Oryctolagus cuniculus: one gene and its partner. The protein of the gene in region 1 interacts with the protein of each later gene in a biochemical or structural test. Links are inferred from orthologs where the notes say so. Each region holds a gene or a part of one and is shown on either strand. Other genes may lie near its edges.

Region 1 (3,533 bases):
AAGATCTTCCATCTGTTGATGCATTCCCCCAAATGCCTGCAACACCTGGGACTGGGCCAGGCCAAAGCCAGGAGCTCTGAACTCCATCTGGGTCTACTGTGTGGCATGGATCTAAGTACTTTCAGAGTGTGTGTTAGCAGGAAGTTAGATGCAGAAACAGATTCGGGCCTTGAACACAGGCACTCCAATATGGGATGCAGTCACCCCAAGCAGTGGCTTAATTGCTGCACCAAATTTTCACCTGCGATTTTTTTATCCACAAATGTTTTAAACTGACACAAAAGTGTACATATTTATGAGGCCCATGTGATAATTTAATATATGTATACAATGTATACTAATCAAATCAAGGTAAAAAGTATTTCCATCTCCATTAATGTTTAATATTTTTTAAGCTGAAAATATGGCATGTTTTTTAAAAACAGCAGTAAAATCTTTTGCTTTTAACTTTTTACATTTTTTATTCTGGTCAGGTAAGTCTTACATAAGAGATTAATTCATATGTTTTACTTCTATTTAATCTAAGAACAAAAGTTAGAGCTGTGTACTTACTACTTGCAGTTCCATGATGACAAATGACTGACAAAAGATCGTAAGTCACAATTTGAGTTGGACTATCCTTAGCAAGAAATGGCTGGAGATCCAGGCCTTCCAGTGGAAATGAAACATGAGTGCTGATTTTGGTGGAAAACATCAGTTCATGTCTGAATCTTTTAAGGTGGATGCATAAAATCTAAAAGACAACAAAATTCAAAACCCTAATTTATCATTAGAAAAAACTGAAAACATTCCAAGTGGTAAAACTTACTACATAAACATTATCATTCTACAAGAAGAAACTTGTTCAATCAAAATAAATTTACAAAGGTAACATTACCTAATATTTTACTTAATTTTATCCGCTAGATAAAGAAGTCTATTAAAAACTGATATTGTCTCAAGTTTAAACATTAACCTGCAATTACAACCTGAGTCCAGAAATGCTCAAAATGTGGAAACGGTGAAACATGTTGCTTTTAAGTATACTGATATTTGTTTTCCTAATTTTATTCTTTATACTCTTGCAAGATCTTACATTATTTAAATCATGTTCAACAGAGAACACCATTATGGGCTCTTACAGTCCATTCCATTTTTCAATCATGCTAAAAGAATTTATTTCTACACTGCGTTATATTAATGCTTTAGCACATAAAACAAATTGAATTAAAATAAAGTTCATACCTCAGGAAATTTTTGTACTTTACAAAATTTTACTCCATTCCTTAATCTAGGTGGGAAAAAGAAAACCAATGAATCTACAAGAAGTTTAATATCTTTAAATATAACATAAAAATTCTTAGAAAATAAAGACAAAAGGTATCAGTCTAGAAATGTTTACTACTGAATTATGTTATACCATAAATAATAAAACACTAGGGTTCCTTATTGCCAAAAATAATTGATATAAAGATATCAGTAATATAATTGAAGGCAGCTGATGAAAATCATTTTTTGGAGAAACAAATGTGCTCCTATTTATTTTGGCTATAGCTTTATAACAGATACTAAATAAAACTGGATAAAGCAAAATTCTAACTTTATAAATTTGTAGTTCAGATAAATATATTAAAACTTTTATTCTTAAATGTGGGAAAAAAAACACTTTTGGGCCGTTGCCTGCAATGTCAGCATCCCATGTGGGCACTGGTTCAAGCTCCAGCTGCTCGACTTCTGATCGCACTCCCTGCTAACACGCCTGGAAAAGCAGCAGAAGATAGCCCAAGTCCTTGGGCCACTGCACCCCTGTGGAAGACTTAAATGAAGCTCCAGGCTCTTACAAGCAAGCATTTAGTAAGTGAACCAGCAGATGGGAGATCTTGCTATCTCTCCTCTCTGTAACCCTGCCTTTCAAATAAATAAATCTTTTTAAAAAAGGAGTGGGAAAAACTTGATATAAAAGATGACTTAATAATCAATATTAATACCTGACAAATCTCTACTTTTGATTTGGATTTTCACTATTATCTTTTTCCTAGTATGCTTTACAAGAAAGGATCTTTCTCCAGGTCAGTACCCTCTTCAGCTATCAGCTAAGACTTCAAGGACAAACCGATAAAATCTTTCCAAAGTACAAGGCAGCATTTTTGTTTAGTCAAACTGTGTTATCATTCCTTTCTGTTATGTAAAGGACTCAAAGCTGCGGACACTGTTTTCCTGAGTTTATTGCCAATAGCCAGAAGCCTGTATTTTTTGTTATTATTCCTTTTTTTTTTTTTACTTTACTTACTTACTTAAAAGACAGAGAAGGAAAGACACAGAAAGATCAATCTGCTATCCACTGGTTTACTCCTCAAAATGCTGCCACAGCCAAAGCCAGGAGCTAGGAATTCCATCCGGGTCTCCTATGTTGTGTGGCAGGGGCCCAAGCACTTGGGCCATCATCTGCTGCTTTCCCAGGCATTAGCAGGGAGCTGGTTCAGAACTGGAGCATCTGAGACTTGAACCAGCAGTCACATGGCATGCTGGCAACACTGGCCTCAAAATTCTGTAGTATTAAGATGCTGTATTTTATTAGAAGCCACTATTTTTCTATTGCAGAGATTCAGAAAAATTTTCCAATTTACCTAAAAAAATAGCCATCTTTATCAAGTCTCCAATAACTTTTTTCTGACTACCACCAAGGAGATTTGCAAGTCTGAATTAATATTTTTTTTAACTTTTATTTAATGAATATAAATTTCCAAAGTACAGCTTATAGATTACAATGGCTTCCCCCCCATAACGTCCCTCCAACCCGCAACCCTCCCCTTTCCCACTCCCTCTCCCCTTCCATTCACATATAGATTCATTTTCGTTTCTCTTTATATACAGAAGATCAGTTTAGCATACATTAAGTAAAGATTTCAACAGTTTGCTCCCACACAGAAACATAAAGTGAAAAATACTGTTGGAGTACTAGTTATAGCATTAAATCTCTTAGCACACTAAGGACAAAGATCCTACATGAGGAATAAGTGCACAGTGACTCCTGTTGTTGACTTAACAAATTGACACTCTTTGACAACTAACTGAGCACCAAAAAGGAAACCTGTTAAAGTGAAATGAACACTATGAGAAACGGTGACTTGATCAGCCCTCACCCTGACTGTTGATGAGCAGCTTAATATGTTATCCCTTTTAGTATTTTTTTGTTTGTTCTACTTAATACTTTTGGTTGAATACTGTAATCAATACACAATTCTTCTTAAGTGCTGAAACTTAACTGAAAAGTGATCGCTGTTAAATATAAGAGTGGGAATAAGAGAGGGAAGAGATGTGCAATTCGGGACATGCTCAAGCTGACTTACCTCAAACAGTAGAGTTAGAATCATACCAGGGGATTCGAATTCAATCCCATCGAGGTGGCATGTACCAATGCCATCTCACTAGTCCCAGTGATCAATTTCTGTTCACAATTGATCATAATGATTGGGCTAAGAACCAAAGGGATCACATAAACAAGACTAGTGTCTGCAAATACTAGCTGATAGAATCAAAAAGGGAGAGAATGA
Region 2 (4,316 bases), on another chromosome or scaffold:
CAGTCTTTTATACACCCGGCAGCCCCTTGAAGCCGGTTGCTAGGGCAAACGCCCCTTCTCTTGTCCTAGGTCCACCCTCGCTAACCCCCCTCCCACCATGGGAATGGCTTCTGGCCGCTCCAGGAACCACCCAGGCTCTTCCCCAGGGGCCTTCCCGCGGGGGGCACTGAACGGGGAGGTTGTGGTTCCCTAAGACCTCACTGTCTTTCCATCTGGTCTCCAGCTCCACGGAGAGCTCGGCCTTGGCCTTTGTCCCGCCAAACAGTTCCTACCAGAGGCACTACCCAAGGCTGACCCCGCTCCCTGAACTACCGACCGGCCCTGTCTCTGGCCTCAACAGCTTCAGGTCCTATTTGTCTTTCAAGGCAAGCAGACGCAGTCCAGGCCCCAGACCCTCCAGTCTCAGGGTTCCTGTCACATCTTGTTTATGTTTCGCTTGCGGTGTGATAGCACCCAGAGCAGTTAGCGGTGCCTCCTCTGCCTCCCTCCTCGCCCTGCGAAGCCTCAGAGGCCTCGTTCACCTCGGCACACCCGGCGCGGCAGCCACCGCACGCTGCAGAGGGTGATTGTGGCTAACGTTTTCTGCGTGACTGTGCCGTGCTTGGCACCGTTCCAAGTGCGTGATCGCAGTTAGTACTCAACAGCCCAGTGGTGGGCCCCCAAGAGCCCTATTGTACGGGTTGGGGAAACTGAGGCAGGGAGCGGTCAACTACTTCGTCTAAGGTCACAGAGTAAAACAGAAGTCCGACACAAACTGAGGCAGGCTGGCTGTGGGTCTCAGCTCCCAACAGCTACACGGTTACACTGTCTATCTCTGTAGTGAGCACTGACAGTTTGTTGAGCCGAAGGGCATTTTTCTTCCCAGCTGCTGAAACTATCTAAGCCTCATCAGACTCTGGAAGGGGAGGGACGTGTCTGGCGACCCCTGCTCTGGCCACGTGTGGGCCTGTCCTTGGAAGCACCATCTAACTCCTTCTAGTCCATTCTGCTCGGCAGTGCCCGCTGGAAAGGGTCCCAGAGAGGAGAAACTGAAGGGCTGCCGCCTGGCCCTTCCCTCCTTCCCCTCCAGCACCCCGGTGTCTGCTCCAGGAACTCCACTTGCCCCTTCTCCCCAGTGCAAGCTGTCCAAAGGTCATATGGCAAAGGGCTTAGCAGCCCCTGAAGTTCCCCAGTCACTAAGCTGTCAATGAGGGGGCAGCCAGCATGAGCACCCTACCTTCTGCCCATCCTGGGTTGGGAGGGGGGGCTGACTGCTCTGGCATCATCCAGGCTCTCCCTCCCCTTTGCTTCTGGGTCCCCTCCTTGCCCCAGCGTTTCTACCCAGCAGGGGCGCTAATCAGTTGGCCAAGAGGAGTGTGGCTCTGGGGCAATTACCCTGGAGCACCTGCCCTTTGGATCCTAACCTGGCCCCCTCCTGCCAGGGCAGGGAGGAGCAGCGTGTGCGTGCTCAGGCCGCCCAGGGAGACAGTGTGGGGATGAGCAGGGAGGTGCCCGGTCAGGGTGGGGGGCAGTGAAGCAGATGCCCCTTCGCGCTTCCTGCTATTCTCTCCATTTCCTGTGGCCCAGAATTTGATGGGGGTGGAGGGAATTATGCCAAGTCAGCAGCCCTCCTTTGGCCCATCCGTCCCCCACTCCCTAAACCACATAACGGAAACTGGGGGCCTCCTCCAAGTCAGTGACTTCTCCCTTCTCTGAGGGTGCTTAGCCCCTAATCCAGGACACCCATCTTCCCTTGCTGCGCTGACCTCTCCCTGATAGTGGTCTACTCTACGCTCAGAAGCCGAAGCCTGGGTTCTCCTACTCAATGGGTGGGGTTGATGGGATCTTGTTTTGCAGTTCTAGTGACAGCTCAGGACCACTCATGAGCCCCTCCTGGTTGAGACAAACAGCCCCAACCTTTTCTTTTGCTCCTGCTCCCCTGGGGCCCCGGCATTCACTCCCTGCCCCCTTGGGGGTGTTGGGTCACAACAGGAAGTGGATTTTGGTAGAGACCAAAAAAGAGAACTCGGGGTGTCCGTGGAAGGAAGGAGCCTCAATTGCACAGAAAACATCCGGGGAGTGGATGCGTGGCTCGGGGCAGACCCTTCTCCCCCGCGCCCTGGGAAGGGACGCGGCGCCCAGCCTCGGGGAGGGTCGCCACGCACTCTGCTCCCTCAAGATGAAGCTGTTGCTCCTGGCAACCCACGGGAAGGCAGAAGTTTGGAAGCGGAGCCGCCCGGTCCTTGGGACAGGTGGGGGCAGCCCTTCTGCTGTAGGGTACTGGGCAGGTTTCCCTCGGGCTCCGCACGAGTCTAGAGGGGGAATCCCCTTCCCAGCATCCAGCCTCCTGGGACGCGACCCTTTGGGACCGGCCACCTGCTCCTGCTTCCTCCTACATCGCAGCCCGCACGCGAGAACCCCTACATCCCTGCGAGGACCCCCGAGGCCGGTTTCTGGTACCCTTCAGGCCTTGCTCTCTGCAAGGGCCCGTGCATGCGCCCCCACTCACCCCAGTACCCTCGAGGACCTAAGCGTGGGGCCCCGATGGCTGCCCCCTGGGGACCCAGGCGTCCAGCCCCCAGCTTTCCCTCCCCGGTGTCCTTGTTTGGAGACTATCTCGGCACCAGCCCCGAGCCGCAGCCACCCATATCCCGCCGCGCGGCCCCACCTCCCTTACCTGGTCCCCGGTTTCTCCCCCATGGTGCGCGCGCCCGCCGCCCGCCCGGTTCGGGGCTGGCTCGCAAGCCTTCTCGCCCGCTGCTAGGTCCTGCTCCTCCCCGCGCCACTGCGCACGCGCGTCCTCCGCTCTGTCTCCTCTTCCCCCTCCCCTGCGGGCCCCTCCTCCGGGCCTGGGGAACCGGGGCCAGATGCGTCAGCCGGATCGCGCGCGCCGGGCGCTCCCGCCCTCTCCTCACAGACTCGCGCGGTGATTGGCTCCGCCTCCACCCTCTGCGCTCCAGTCCCCAGGGGAGCCCTTCCCCCCGTGCGCGCGGTCCCTTCTCCCGCTTCTCCCGCCCATCTCCCCGCCCTTCCGCAGATCCCTGCAAGCGGATTGGGCCGCTCCAACGAGGCGCCCGCCCTTCAGGAGATTGCAGCCCTCGGATTGGCTCCTGGCATCCACAACCCAGTAGGGGTCTCCTCCCCTTTGTTTGCTTTCTCGGTGGAGATGGGGGCTGCCGGGGTGGTGGGGGCGGTGGAATGAACTCAAACAGTCTGGGCTGGAGGGTGAGGGGATGCACACGTGGGTGAGCCGTTCCAGTTGCATGATGCCTGCTAGGGTGCGCGCCGCTCCTCGGCTCATCCCAGAGCTTGCGGTTTCCTTAGGCCCGCCCTCCGGCTTTGTTGCGGTGTCTCAGCTCCCCCTGGTGTCTGTCTTGGATTTGTGCAGGGTTTCTAATGTCAACGTCTCCACCCGCCGGTCCCCGCTAACATCTATCCATCCATCATCCATCCATCCATCATCCATCCGTGCCCCCACACCCCGGCCCCATTTTGTGCCAGACGCTGAGCAGAGCCCTGGAGACACGCATGAGTGATCGCGGCCCCTGGCGTTCTGGTCCAGTCGAGGAACACGTGGACAGGTGTCATGAGTCCAGGAATGCTATAATAGAGGGCTGACTCAGAAGACAGAGCAGCTCACTGCGCTCGGCAGGCTGCCCAGAGGAAGGGAAATGTGAGGACGCCAATTCCGAAGAACGGGCACACGTTGAGCAAGGGCGTTCTGAAGGGAAAGCTAGGCGAGGCGAGGCGAGGCGAGGCGAGGCGAGGCGGGCACATCCTGTCCCGCAGGCAGAGGGGAAGACTGGGGCGGCGGGCCCGCCCCGCAGGAGGACACGTGGAACCCGGGCCGGTTTTTTAAAGCCGTGGAGTGTCACGATGAGAGTTCTGTTTTTGGAGATTAATCCTGGGCATTGCGGAGGGTAGGAGATGGCTGAGAGCGGGTGGGAGAAGAGGGGCCGGACTGGAGGATCATTTCTGGGGCTGTCACATTGGACCTCAGGGAGGATGATGGATGATTGACATTTCTGGGCTTAGGACTCTAAGGGATTTTTTTTTTTTTTTTTTGACAGAGTGGACAGTGAGAGAGAGAGAGAGACAGAGAGAGACAGAGAGAGAGAGAAAGGTCTTGCTTTACCATTGGTTCACCCCCACAGTGGCCGCAGCAGCGGCCGGCGCACGGCGCTGATCTGAAGCCAGGAAACAGGTGCTTCTCCTGGTCTCCCATGGGGTGCAGGACCAAACACTTGGGCCATCCTCCACTGCCCTCCCTGGCCACAGCAGAGAGCTGGACTGGAAGAGGAGCAACCGAGACAGAACCGGCGCCTCAAATGGGACTA

What was found. The genes of interacting proteins can lie anywhere in the genome.
Region 2: of the proteins of USP33 (region 1) and ARRB2, one has a biochemical effect on the other in vitro, tested with the Homo sapiens proteins (2 studies listed by BioGRID, with this or other methods). The link is inferred for Oryctolagus cuniculus from reciprocal best matches to the Homo sapiens genes USP33 and ARRB2.

What each region holds. Positions count from the first base shown.
Region 1 is NC_091438.1:94,096,086-94,099,618, reverse strand, and holds part of USP33 (ubiquitin carboxyl-terminal hydrolase 33), read right to left. Parts: intron 1,271-3,533; coding exon 1,225-1,270; intron 734-1,224; coding exon 553-733; intron 1-552. UniProt on the Homo sapiens protein: Deubiquitinating enzyme involved in various processes such as centrosome duplication, cellular migration and beta-2 adrenergic receptor/ADRB2 recycling.
Region 2 is NC_091448.1:51,504,652-51,508,967, forward strand, and holds the start of ARRB2 (beta-arrestin-2), read right to left. Parts: upstream 2,814-4,316; 5' UTR 2,680-2,813; coding exon 2,657-2,679; intron 1-2,656. UniProt on the Homo sapiens protein: Functions in regulating agonist-mediated G-protein coupled receptor (GPCR) signaling by mediating both receptor desensitization and resensitization processes.